Linked DNA regions of Arabidopsis thaliana. The protein of the gene in region 3 interacts with the protein of the main gene of each other region in a pairwise test. Each region holds a gene or a part of one and is shown on either strand. Other genes may lie near its edges.

Region 1 (4,042 bases), on a different chromosome or scaffold from region 3:
CTGCGACAATCATCCTCTTTCCCTATGCTATGGCGAAAATGCAACCGGAAAATATTGGTGTGATATTTGCGAGGCGGAAACAGATCCAAGTAAGTGGTTCTACACTTGCTCTAAATGTGTGGTTACTGCACATATTGAATGTGTGCTTGGAGACTTTTCACGTCTCATGCCAGGACGCATCATCAACTACAATAATGTTAGAGTTGAAGTGGTTCTTAACAGCTATAGTTCTCGCCCCTTCTGTGCAAAATGTCACTCCAGATGCAGAGCTCCTATCATTCTAAAGCTTTGTGATCCATATACTGGATACATTTGTTCCGATGCATGTGTAGTGCCCGACTATCAATACAGCTAAGACAACTATGTAGCTGTTTATTTCACTCTATTGTTTCTCGTAATTTTTTGGATGTAAGAGTTTATTTCCAACTACAAGTGCTAAGCATTCTGGTTATATTCATACTGTGTTCATCAGTACAGGCAGGATTAAACTGTATCGATGACATATATAAAGTCGTAACAAGTTATGACAAACTTGCTAAAAAGGTAGTAGCAACTAATATGATTTAGTTAATGAAAACATAGACAGAAATGATGGAAACAGATATTTGTGAATCAGAAATGTTATTAAACAAAGATGAAAACTGAAGTAATTTTAACAACAAAAATAACGAATATGTGATGTACATTGCAAATGCAAAAATTATAAAGACACAGCGGATAAAGTTTTGGAAATACAGAGAACAAACTCACTCACGTGACTAAATCTAAAAGACAAGGCAAGAGTTCAATGAACCTCTGTATCATTTTGATTTTGACATTTACAAGAGTTACATAAGCAAGGAGGACCATGACATGTAACTTCAAACTCACAGTCATTTTCATGACAAAACCAAGGCTTCAAATCGAAATGATGCGACTGAGTTGATTTACAAAAACAGTGGTCCGTTTCAGTATACCTTAGATAAGGCCGCCAGATTTTAAGATCTGCATGATGGTAAAGTGATTCCTCCGCAGAAAGATGCGATTATTATGTACAGCAAGAAAACTATCAAGCATGTCAACAAGACCCTGCCGAACACAAACAAGAAAAGCAGTTTTGTTGATTAATAAAAGTGATCTGGAACTCAAGCATCAAAACAAAACAATAATGAAATTTCTTTAAGCAGAGGTGGAATCAAGGCAGTGTAGTTCCTATCAGCCAAAAATTAGATATTTTGTCGAGGAGAATTTCCCAAAATCGAAAATAATGTTGAATCTTAGAACTACTGTATCTCTAGTTTAAGAAACATATCAATAAACTATGCTGCAAAGGCGAGTTGAAACACCTAGAATGTAGAAGAGCGTATCTCTTAGTTAGCAAAGAAAAGGAATGAAGAGAATCTAGAAGTGAGAGAGATCCTTACAGGAGCTTAGCATTTTTCATCCAAAGAGCTCGGCGAAGGCGCTTAGATTGCTTCCTGAAGTGAAACGAGCTATCTTGCATTGTTGCTGTTTTATCAACAAGAAGCTCAATCCTATCACCTCTTTCCATTATCTTCTCAATGTTCTCTACCATGACCGATCGAATCTGTAAACACGATAACACAACAATGAGATAACAAACTTCATCTTTCACCCAAGACAGATTTAAAGAAGCCTGTGTGAGCCAAGAAGGCGTAATAACTCATAAAAATTCAACCTTTTCAATGGATATAGCTGAGTAATATCTAGAGATCATACGAAGAAACAATTATACCTCACTGACTTCTCCTCTAACACGATTGAGAGTATCAACACTAGGATTACTAGAGAAGAACTCCATCTGCTGATGCAAAACCCTTGAGAATTCATCATTCATTGCATAAGCTGGAGCATTATGAGCCACTTTGCCATAGTTTTTCATGAATCTCATATGAATCTCTTCCAAATACGAAAATGGAACCCTCCCTGAAAATCCAATCACCAACACATCAAAACATAAAACTCAGAATCAATTACAAAGACTAAATCTTCTTAAGAGAGATTACGATTCGGAGAAAGTGAAAAATACTTACTTCCAAAGGTATCATTGGCCATACAGAGAAAGGTAAGACCATCAGATCTAAGAATATGGAAGATATAACGATCTTGAGAGAAACAAAGTCTTTCATCGGAGATTTCCGGTGAAAGCTTCTCGAGGATCCGTCGCACCACGGCGCCTGTGTTTCCCGTAACGGCGCTGAATTCAGCTAATACCACGGTACCTCTCGCTACAACAGCATAGACAATCGCCATCGGAGAATCTTCAATTAGAGTGATTCGATGACAGAGAGTGGAGATCACGCGCTCCGGCGGCGAGAAAGTTCAACGTCGGCTTTGCTGCGATCAGAACAGAGTATAAAAATGCGAAGTTATAAGGTTAGGTGCAAACGTTTCGAATATAACCCCTTGTTTTATTGTTACGTTTTTAATTGTCACCTAAAATATTATTTTGTTACATTTTAAACCCTGATGCATCGGTTTACGGTTTACCAATTTATTAGGCCTTGGTAACTTATCCGAAAACAAACCGACCCGAAATTCACTTTTCGGTTTGGGTTCGGATACTCCAATAATAACTTGATCGTTTCCTTCTTTTTAATTTCGATTATCCGGTTCGGTTCGAGTATAGCACGAATAAACCGAATTAAAATTAAAGCCCTAATTTAAATATACCGATCGAGTCTTCGGCGAGCTTACTTCGCCTTGAATCGAGTCTTCGACGAGTCTCCGGCTGCGAGTTTCTCTTGCTCCGGCAAACAGACCTGTCATTGCTTCTCTCTCCGGCTAACTACACAGGCGAGCTTCTCTATTTATTTTCTTCTGTGTCTCCAGTTGCTTCTGATATAATGAATATGCTCTTGAAGCAAATTGTTTCTCTGCTTCTCTTTCTCCAGTGAATTGTTTGTTGTATTATAAACGAGGTTTAGGAATTGGGTTAATAATATTGGAGGATTGTGTTTGTATTCTGTGTCCGACGAACAAATGACATTTCCGATTTCTATTGTGCTACGAGCTCAGTGTTTAGAAGGGTTTTGATGTTCTCTATTGAATATTCATGTTATGTTAGTTTGATGATTAGATGATTTTGCTTTGCAATTACTGTGTTTTTTTGTCTGACTGGCTCTGATATTATACAACGTGTTTGACTCCGATTGGTATCAATCTTCTTCTTCGTCTTCAGAAGCATGGTGTTTGGACAAGTAGTAATAGGTCCTCCAGGATCGGGAAAGACCACTTATTGCAATGGAATGTCTCAGTTCCTCTCTCTAATGGGCAGGTTTCATGTTCTTTCTCTTCTCTTCTCTTTTTGGATCAAAGAATGAAGCTTACTTGGCTTTTGTATCTGTAATTCTGTTTGTATTGATTGTTTCGCTGTCCCTCGCATTGTAAAGTTTACAAGTTGCAAACTTTAGTAAATAATAGTGTTGAATTCCAGAAATTTGAATTGTCTGACTTTTGAGCAGAGTCATTGTGAAATGTTGTTGCCTTGTCTTTGTTTTTGGTAGAGAGATTTGCAGATTCGTGAGAACTTCTCTGTAAGTAAATTCTCTTAACGTTGAGTTACTATTTTGTTGTTGTTGCAGGAAGGTTGCTATTGTTAATCTGGATCCTGCAAATGATGCATTACCGTATCCTTTTCAAGCCAAATACAACAAAATTGTTAAAAATTGCAGGTGTATGTTGTTTCTTGACATTGATTTTAGTTATGAGTGTGGTGTGAATATAGAAGAATTGATCAAGTTAGAAGATGTTATGTCGGAACACTCGCTTGGTCCTAATGGAGGTGAATTTTGCCATCTTGATTTTCCCTTTTCTTCTTACTTTTGATTTTAATCTTTGGTCAAATTAACAAAGAAACTTTCTAATGTGACAGGTCTTGTATATTGTATGGAGTACTTGGAGAAAAACATTGACTGGCTGGAATCTAAACTAAAGCCTCTTCTGAAGGGTTAGCAACGATATGTCCCTTCTTCTTCTTCTTCTTTTCGTGGTCATAATATCTCTTTCTTAAAGTAAAACGTTTTGAATTGTTTGCAGATCA
Region 2 (4,394 bases), on a different chromosome or scaffold from region 3:
AAATAATGCATTGGAGTTTCTCAACACAGTTAAAGATCCTTTTGAGTTGTCATAATGTCCCACCACTCTTTTAACACCAGCTTCTTTTTCCCTTCAAATCCAACAATATTAGTGATCATCTTTTTTCTAGGCATAATGCATAATTTTGAAATGTAAATCTCACTTGAAGTCAGAATTGTTGGTGCATATTTAGACGGGTCTCTATTTATTCAAATCAATGATCTTTACAAATATCTTAACATAACATTTTCATCATTCATAAAAAGATAAAAGGGAAGAAAAAGGTTGCAAGCAAAAAGAAAATAGAAAAAAAATCAATGTACCAATAATGAGATCATAAAGTTATTATCTGTACCTAAGATTACATAGAGAGAAACTATGATCTGTTTCTTAGATCACTACATGACTTTATAATTATTATTATGTTTATTCGTTTTTTAGAAAATTGAAAGAACAAACATTCGTCATTACATTTCAAAGAATGTGGACATTCTCCAAGTGACCCATTAATTCAACTTATAATATTGAAACTATTTGGATCAACCTATAACTTAAGAACTATGTAGACAAGTGACATCGATTATCTGTGTAAATAAATTGATCTGTTTTATAATTTGTTAGATTGAACCATTTGTTCTATGTGTAAATTATCATAAATTAGCTACAAACGGAGTCAACCACAAAACGCAGATCCAAAACGCAAATGCAAAAAGGCAGAGTCTTTAATGACACCCATGAGAGAATACATCAAAACCATGAGAGGTTCATCAATGGCCAAAACCAAAAACCTTCAGCATCAAAACATAAAAGATAGTTGAATAGCCTACATACATAAACTGATTAAAAGCATAAACTACTTAGTTACTTCCTGCGGAAGAGGCGTTGCATTGAGGAGTGTCGATCATCATGGCATTGTTTTCAAACAGAGGAGAACAAGGCCAGGTACGTCGAAAGTAAGGCACCACTTTGTTGAAATCCCAAACGAGTGTCGATTTTCGTCCTTGGTACTGAACTACTTCGACCCTTTTAGTCTCTGTGTGATAGATGAAGATTTGTGTATCACATCTGATGTACACCAAGTCCGACTTCTGATTGAAGAGCGCAAGCAGCTGCGTTTCTTTAGTCCAAGTGCTGAATCTTGTAGCTACCGCTTGGTTCATTTTCCACATCGCCTTGAAATTCACCTTAAACAGCAGGTTCCATTCAAGCACATTGCCTACCTTTTCAAGCTTCCATACCTCCATTACCGACTTATTGCTCCATCCGTATTGTAAAGACCCATCATCGGTTTCTCCCAGAACCTGTTCATCATAGTCATATGTTTTCGGAAGCTTTATCACATCAATCCGTTTCTCCTCACTGTTTGAGTCATATATGGCAATTTTACCTCCTCTAGCATGCCAATAAACAACGCCTTTAATCACTCTCCCTGGAGTCCACGGGCTGAGAGATAGAGGCTCGAGACAAATAAGCTCTGAGTAGCTCCACGTAGAAGTTTTTGAGGAAAAAGTCTCTACCTTCACCTTTGTACTGTTAACAGGAAAGGCTACACACTCTGCCCGGACCACCTTGTAGCTAAACCCTTGATCAGGACTATCCTCAGAAATCAAAGACATACAAAGTTCTTCGAAATGAACTCTGGGACGTGGAAGTTGCTGCTGCTTCTGTGTACTCGGATCCCACAAGTAGTAAGCTTTTGGATGGCGGCCGCAGAGTAGAAGACCATCTGCAGAGTCGATGTAGTATCCAAGCTTTTTCAGAATACCAGAGGATTCAATTTCATCACCAATACTGCTGGTTGAGAGCAAAGGAAGAGATGGCTCAGCGCGAGGGCGACGAGTTCCATCTATGCGTCTTCCAAGGTACATTGAGCTGCAGACGAAGAAGCCAATGAGTTCAAAATTAGGTTTCCACTTGGCTAAGTAAGTGTGACGGAAGCAAGGGCTGGCTATAATCTCAAGCCATCTCTTGGACACCAAAATCAGCTTGTATATCGTTTCTGGTGGAAGCAGGATAAGAATCTCACACATAGTATCATTACTGTTAAGAACCTCATGAGTACTCAGAGCAGAAGTCATCCCCAAATTGGTTTTTAACCTGGCAGAACAAGACATTGCAGACACTGTTTCTTTGTTCATCAGTAATAGAAATCCAACACAATCAAAACAACCACACAGAATCAAAAGACCCACAAGCTACAAAGAAACACAAATCAATTTCAAGTATCTAGTGGATTGAGAAAACTCAATAACCTAAAATCTCCAAAGAGAATCTACCAAAACGCATGCAAAATCACAAAAGATGTTATTTTGGTTACACCCATGAGGAACAAGAACAAAAGTCGGAGAATTTCGCAGAAATTTTTCTGAAACCCTAAGCTTCAAAGTTACGATTTTTAAGAACAGGAAACGATTACAGAGCGAGACTCATCACTAAGGTAGAAAAAAAGACTTAGCATTACGTCAAGAAATTGGAAGATACAAGAGCTAAAAGAGGAGAGAGAAGAACCTTGGTGACGACGAACGCTGAACGCAGAGAAGGGATGCAAACGTTTCTTCACAAGACTAAAGTTATACAATGCTACAATATAAAGGGACAAGTACTTTCTCCTAACCGGATCTCGTTGCGATTGAACCGGGTTCAGTTCAGTTTAAATTTGGTTCGGATTGATGGAAATCCAGAATTCTGATTGGATGAATTGCTTTAATTTGATTTACATTATTTTTATGTTTGGTACGATTTCGTTAGGGTTTAGGTCAATTTGTTACTACAATAAATGTGAACCGGTTATGCTATTTGCTTTTTAACCTTTTTTTTTCTGACATCCCCTCTCTGGTTTCATCTGACGACGGACAAGATTTAAGGGATAATCGAACGGTCAAAATTATAAACTACGGGACAGATTTCGTTTTTTTTTTTTTTTGACAAGCGACGAAGATTTTTCTTTCTTTCAAATTGTGTTTTTCTCTATATTCGATTCGAGATTAAATTCTGAAATATTGTTCTTTTTTTTTTTTTCTCTTTTGTGGCATGAACATAATTGTTTTCTTTTGTTCTAGGAATGTCATTTGTCACTTTTGTTAATGCAATTGAGAAATTTGAGGTTGCAGTTAGGTATGCATTTAAAATAAGATTGTCTAGTAGAAATTGGACTTACGATTTATATGATCTTCATAAGTAAAAAAGGATGCTAACATATTTTAAAAAATCTGTTGTTCAAAAAAAAAAAAAACATATCTTAAAAAATCAATAAAATCTAAGGATGTAAGATATTATTACAAATAGTAGAGATTTATAACTTAACAAAAAATCGAGGAGGGACTAAAAAATAACGCTCGTAATTAAGCCCTAGTACACTTGATCTGTGAAAGAATCTGATTGTTCAAGAACTTAGACATGAATCTATAAGCCTTTTGAGTCAAGTGCACTCCGTCCCAACTTATGAACTTGTGTGGATTCTGACACACCGGAACTCCCACTGCTCCGTATGGCCTCTTTCCGTCGTAGTTGTAAGCTCCACCGGTCCCGCAACACGATTTCAAAGCTACACTCTTGTCGAATCTTTCACTTCGTAGAACGTATTGAAACGCATTGTAGTAATCTCCGTATACTATAGCCACGTCTGGAAACTCTTTTCTCAAAGAAGCTATAGCTTCTTGGAGTTGGTTATTGTGATCCATTGCGAATTCGTTGAGATGCGTCAAGCAACCGTTGTCGTCGTAATCTTTTGTATCTTTCACGGGAAAAGACGTCAAGTAAATCGGAAAACATCCCACTGGAAAGTTTCCCGGGACGACCACGTTAACCGCACCAGCACGGATCACCTCTCTAGCTGCGGCTGTGATGGCTCCAACCACGTGAGGGATGTAGCTTCTGATTTCTTCCATTGGTTTGCCTTGGAAGAAACCGTAGTTGTAGTCGTTGCCTCCTATCTCACCGACCATGAAAAGAGAGTGCTTCAAGCAATCCGAAGAAGAGCCGTGACACGTGGAACGTAGATGACCCTTGAACCAAGCAAGCTGCATGGAGAGAGGAGTGTTTGTTGCCGGAACGTGGAGATTTCTCTCGGAGAAGAAAGAGCTGTTGAGTGCTGTGCTTCCGGAAACTCCGAAGTTAACAAAGACGTTGTGTTCCCGTTGAGGTAAGGGTTTAGGAGTGGGAGATGAAGCCTGCGTGCCAAGTAATCGATCATTAGCAGTCCGTTAGATAGACGACCGGTGGCTTGGTGAAAGTATGTTTGACCGTATGGATAATTAGCGGCGTGAGAAGATCTGGCTCCAACAGGGCCGTTGCGGATTAAGTTTCCAGTGTCGGAGATGGAGTCACCGAATTGGTAGATAGAGTTGATAGGACATTGATCCGATGAATGAACAAGGGACACGAAGAGTATAAAC
Region 3 (4,758 bases):
CTTATATTTTTGAATCTTTCGTAGTCTTGGATAAAATCAGCGACTTCCTTGCAACTCTTTAGCCTTTTACCTTGAGGCAATGAACATCGGCTTTATAGCAATGTTCTCTAAGAATCAAAATCCTCCTGCACCCTTGAAGGCTTTTTGGTAAACCATGCCGATGTTACATGTAGAGTGTCATAGAATCGCAAGAAGAGTACGAAGAGATCAGAAGTAAACACACCAAACAAGTGTTTTGGGTAAACCATACTGATTCACAAACCAAAACCACTTGTTTTGGTGATTCACAAACCAAAACCACTTGTTTTGGTGATTCACTCCTCATCTCCTTGTACGCTTCTTGAGACTCTTAAGACTCTATAAATCTCTTCTTGTAGCACTGTCCGCATTGTGCAGCGTATCATCTCTCTATGTGTCTATTAACTTGTTTCTGCTTCATAAATGAAATCAAACAAATTAAGATTTTGAGAGAACGAATCATGTAAAGATCTCCATTCGTCTACTCTATTTAAAACTTTGAGGTAGATGAAAGTAACGCTTGGGGGAAGTGAAGAGGTGCATTAAAACCAAAACAAACCATGTTTAAAACTGAAACGTCTTCGAAGGAAAAAATGTTTCTTGTGAAGAAAAGTTACTTGTTCTGCCTCTCTTTCTCTATACGATAACAAAGAACACGAGTTTAGGATGAAAGCAATAATAAAGTTTTGTTAATGTTTCAAAAAAAGAAATGGCTTTTAGAAAACGCCATCACAAAAGCATTTCTTTACAAGGATTCATCATCAAACACAAAAGTTCCTCCAAATCCTTAAGAACGAGAGAGATAATTTGATTTACAGCTACTTGTTCAAGATTCCTAGAACAAGAACTTTTCGGTTCACTATCTACTAGTCTTCTTCTGAAATGTTGAACAAGAACTTTGGGAGTGATGTGATTCGAGGAAGGTGCACCAGCAAATCACTGAATGAGTCTTTCCTTGACATCCCTTGTAGTGGCTTGCTGCTTGAAGCAGGGTCAACAACTCTTTTGCCTCCTTCGGGCATGTGTCTATTGTTATCGACCCCAACAACTCTTTCGGTATCAGCAGTTTCGATATTGAGCTGTGAGTTTGCAGCAGATTGCAAGAGGTTGCAGAAAGAATTCACCTTTGACATGACAGACTTCTCATCAGATGGATCGGTTTGAGTGTTGTCACTTAGCAGTAACTGTTTCATTTCCTCAAACTCTTGGTTGTTTTCACAAGCTTGATCTGACAAAAACGTAAGGAAATCGTTCATCGAGATAGATTGGTGTAGTCCAGGCATTTTTATCTGACTCCAACCGTTTGTATTCCTCGAATCAATGGAACCACCAACTCCTTCGATTGCACGAGCATCCATCACTATATATAAACAAGAACGTATGACCACAAGTAAAGAGAAACGAATGTGAACGATAAGATAGTGGAAACAAACAAAATACCTGAGCTAGGCGATAGTGCGTCATGAGATAGAGACACATGTTCTGATGATGACTGAGCCCCAACAGGAGATGCAATATTATGAGATCCAGACACTGAGGGATCCTCAAATATAGATAGTCGTGAATCAAAGAACGGTGCGGCCAAGTTTATCTCTGGCTGCCGGCTTAGACAGAACAAGCGATGATCACATTGAACAAGCTTCTCAAAATGTTTGTTCATAATCCCTGGGGGACACTGCAGAAAATGTTGCCTACCATATCACAAAGATACAGAAACCATTATCAGCCTATACTCACGAGTTAAGACTAAGGACATAAGAAATGTTCTTACCTGTTCATGCTAGCTTGACCATCAGTAAAATCCGATGTCGCCTGCCACAAAGTATGTTTTCTAGGCTGCGGATTAGTTTCTCTGAAAAACAATGGCCGCCTAGCCAGCTGAAAAACAGAACAAAGATAACAAATTAAAACATAGATGGTCGAGCAAACAAACGAAACGATCACAAGAATTCATTTCGTACCACAATAGTCAGGGTTCCAGGTTCATCCTCTGGCAAATTAGCCTTCAAAGCCATAATATCAGACCACTGAATCTCAATCTTGCTCTTAAGACCTTGTTCCAACACTTCCCACACAAGTTTATGTTTTGCAAAGTAACATTTCGCCACCAAATCACCTTCATACCTTGACTTATACTACAAACAAAATTCAAAATCAGATTCCAAAACACACCAATAAAAAACAAACTTTGAAAGACTCACCTCCCATTGACCAATCCTGAGAATAGTAGCAGGAAAGTTAGAAGCTTTAAGCTTCTCAACGGTTCCTACACCACCAAAACCAAAACTTTCTTTCTTAACCGAATTTGAGTCATCACCACTTTGAGAAAGTTTCATCTCAATCAGTTCTTGAAAAGATGGGCTCTTTTTTAAACTCAACCCCAAAGGACTTGGCTCTTCAAGTAGACTAAACTTAGAGACACTTGTTCCATTGCTCCATAGCTAAATTCATTTCAAACCCAGACAATAAAAATCCAAACTTTATAAAAGATGAAAGTACTAAACAAAAGTTTTCTCAACAAAAAACCTTGGATCGTTTGTTGAGAGGAGCGTGTTCTTCTTCAAGAGAATCTTCAATGATCTCTAACTTCACCGGAAAATTGTTGTTCCGATGCTTCGAAGCTTGTCTTAGATGATTCTCTGATCTCATCATCTCCACCATCCAAAAAACACAAAACCCTGAGAATCTAAGAGAGTAACGAATTTTGATTTGAAGATCTAAAAGAACGCGAAAAGGACGCGATTGAATAGCCACGCGCTTGAGAGATTTGTTTTTTTAATAGAAACAAATGTTGAGTTTCTAGAAAGTACCCGAATTGGCCTTTATGGTGTCTTTACGTAGGAGGCTATTTTTGTCATTCCTTATTTCAATACTTGGTTGAGATAGGCTGTTTAGGTCCCACGTTTTGCTTTTTTAATGACGGCTATTGATGGATAATTTGACACGTGTCATATTATTCGGACGCTAGCTTCTTATCTAATTTCTCTTTCTCCTTTCTTTGGCTTTGGTCTGTTTTTGTCGTCACATATTATAAAATTAAAATGGTTCCAATATTTGTATCAAATTAAAATGTGATATTTCATCATAAATTATAAAATATCAAGTGTCTTTAGGATATTTAAGTTTACTGTCAAGTGTCTTAACATTTATAAAAGATTGCTAATTGCTAAACACCCCCAAGAATTAGCAATTTTCTTACATTTTATGATGAAATATCAAGTGTCTTAGGATATTTAGTTTACTAATGTGTTAACACATCATCTAAAGTGTTCAATAATTTCTTTTTGTTTATAATAGAAAATGTTTTTTTACAGTGCAAAATAGAAAAGGTTTAGAAGATTTTAATCAATCATATATATTATTGACATATGAATCCAATCATAATTTATTACTTTAATATATGTAAAAAAAAAAGATGATTATAATATTTTTTGTGTTTGCATTTTTGACATTAAAAAATAAATCTATTAAAATTTTACAACTAGGTGTCACTTTGATTTAAATTTTCCAATTTTATGTTTAGAATTTTTTAAATTTGGATATTTTAATTTAATATAGGTAAGTAAAATAAAATATTGATCATGATTTATATTTTATAGTCTATAATTTATAAGAATGTTGTTGCAATGACAAGTTTGACAACCCATATAACTAAATCCAGAGTTAGTGAACATTTTTTTTTTTTAATTACTCAAAGATTTACATCTATTTGGCCGGAGAACCGAACATTTAATATAGTAAACATTACACTGTACTGTATTTTTTCTTTATCTAATGAACTCCCATTGTCAATGCATTAGCTAGTGAGTCACTATCACAGCCGCATTTTATCTTAATGCTTTTGACAACAAAAAAATAATGGATTGGGTTGTGAGACTTGAAAAGTGTCATAAGTGAGATTGGTGTGATTATAATACTTTGAAGTCTTTTAAGATATATCTGTCTCTGATTTCTTAACCCAAATCATTGATCAATGACCAAACTCGTTGATGAGGTATATGTTACACCTAGAATAGTTGTCATGCGAGACAAGAAAAAGAAGACACAAATATGAAACAAAAATCAACTCATTGACCAAATTATATCACAATACAAAAGGATATTACCACAACTTTAGATTACAAAATGAGAATTGCAGGTAAGAAAAGGATCAAGCCTGCTCTGCTTAAGTCGCCTTTCGATTGACTTTCAAGTAGGGCAGAGCTCCGATCACGTTGTCATAGTCGCTCCGGTTCACTTCCGTCTGCAATACAGAAGACAGAACACAAAGCTAAACGTGTAAGAGAGAACAGAGCAGCGAAGTTGCTAATTAACAAAGCCAAAACAAGTAATAACTTGAACTTGTGATCATTAGATTGATGCCACAAGATTTAGTTTTGTTTTTCTTTTATACTAGTTGATGATAATAGATTTCTCCCTTAGCCACATTTCTAATGAAAGCCACTGCAGATATCAATCGCATGGTTTCCATATCAAGGGTATAATTCTGCCAATAGCGTTAATCCCCCATTTAAGAGATTCAGCGAGAGGTGCACAGAGGCAAATGCACAATGAAAGACACGGTTTGAAGTTCAAAAATATGTCTTTCGACAAACGAAACCGTATATTTACTACCAAGACATTAGCAAACAAGTCATAACTGGGTTGATAACATGAGTTTTTGTTTGCTAAGAGCATGTTCTTTTCCTAACGATTCATACCACATGCTGAAACATTCAGCAAAACCCACTCACAGCTAAT

Evidence for each region.
Region 1: the proteins of ASG1 (region 3) and VAMP714 interact in a two-hybrid assay, tested with the Arabidopsis thaliana proteins (one large-scale study listed by BioGRID).
Region 2: the proteins of ASG1 (region 3) and AT5G03970 interact in a two-hybrid assay, tested with the Arabidopsis thaliana proteins (one large-scale study listed by BioGRID).

Annotation. Positions count from the first base shown.
Region 1 is NC_003076.8:7,403,402-7,407,443, forward strand, and holds VAMP714 (vesicle-associated membrane protein 714), read right to left. Parts: upstream 2,483-4,042; 5' UTR 2,254-2,482; coding exon 2,034-2,253; intron 1,927-2,033; coding exon 1,736-1,926; intron 1,568-1,735; coding exon 1,404-1,567; intron 1,069-1,403; coding exon 978-1,068; 3' UTR 603-977; downstream 1-602. Other genes in the region: AT5G22355 (Cysteine/Histidine-rich C1 domain family protein), read left to right, coding at 1-355; QQT1 (P-loop containing nucleoside triphosphate hydrolases superfamily protein), read left to right, coding at 3,186-3,277, 3,585-3,629, 3,705-3,784, 3,875-3,949, 4,039-4,042. UniProt on the Arabidopsis thaliana protein: Involved in the targeting and/or fusion of transport vesicles to their target membrane.
Region 2 is NC_003076.8:1,070,864-1,075,257, forward strand, and holds AT5G03970 (F-box associated ubiquitination effector family protein), read right to left. Parts: upstream 2,627-4,394; 5' UTR 2,509-2,626; intron 2,123-2,508; 5' UTR 2,115-2,122; coding exon 858-2,114; 3' UTR 643-857; downstream 1-642. Other genes in the region: AT5G03980 (SGNH hydrolase-type esterase superfamily protein), read right to left, coding at 3,342-4,169, 4,283-4,394.
Region 3 is NC_003071.7:10,242,842-10,247,599, reverse strand, and holds ASG1 (ATP-dependent DNA helicase), read right to left. Parts: upstream 2,856-4,758; 5' UTR 2,680-2,855; coding exon 2,545-2,679; intron 2,460-2,544; coding exon 2,220-2,459; intron 2,154-2,219; coding exon 1,980-2,153; intron 1,897-1,979; coding exon 1,790-1,896; intron 1,710-1,789; coding exon 1,459-1,709; intron 1,379-1,458; coding exon 885-1,378; 3' UTR 606-884; downstream 1-605. Other genes in the region: PRPL35 (Ribosomal protein L35), read right to left, coding at 4,184-4,261.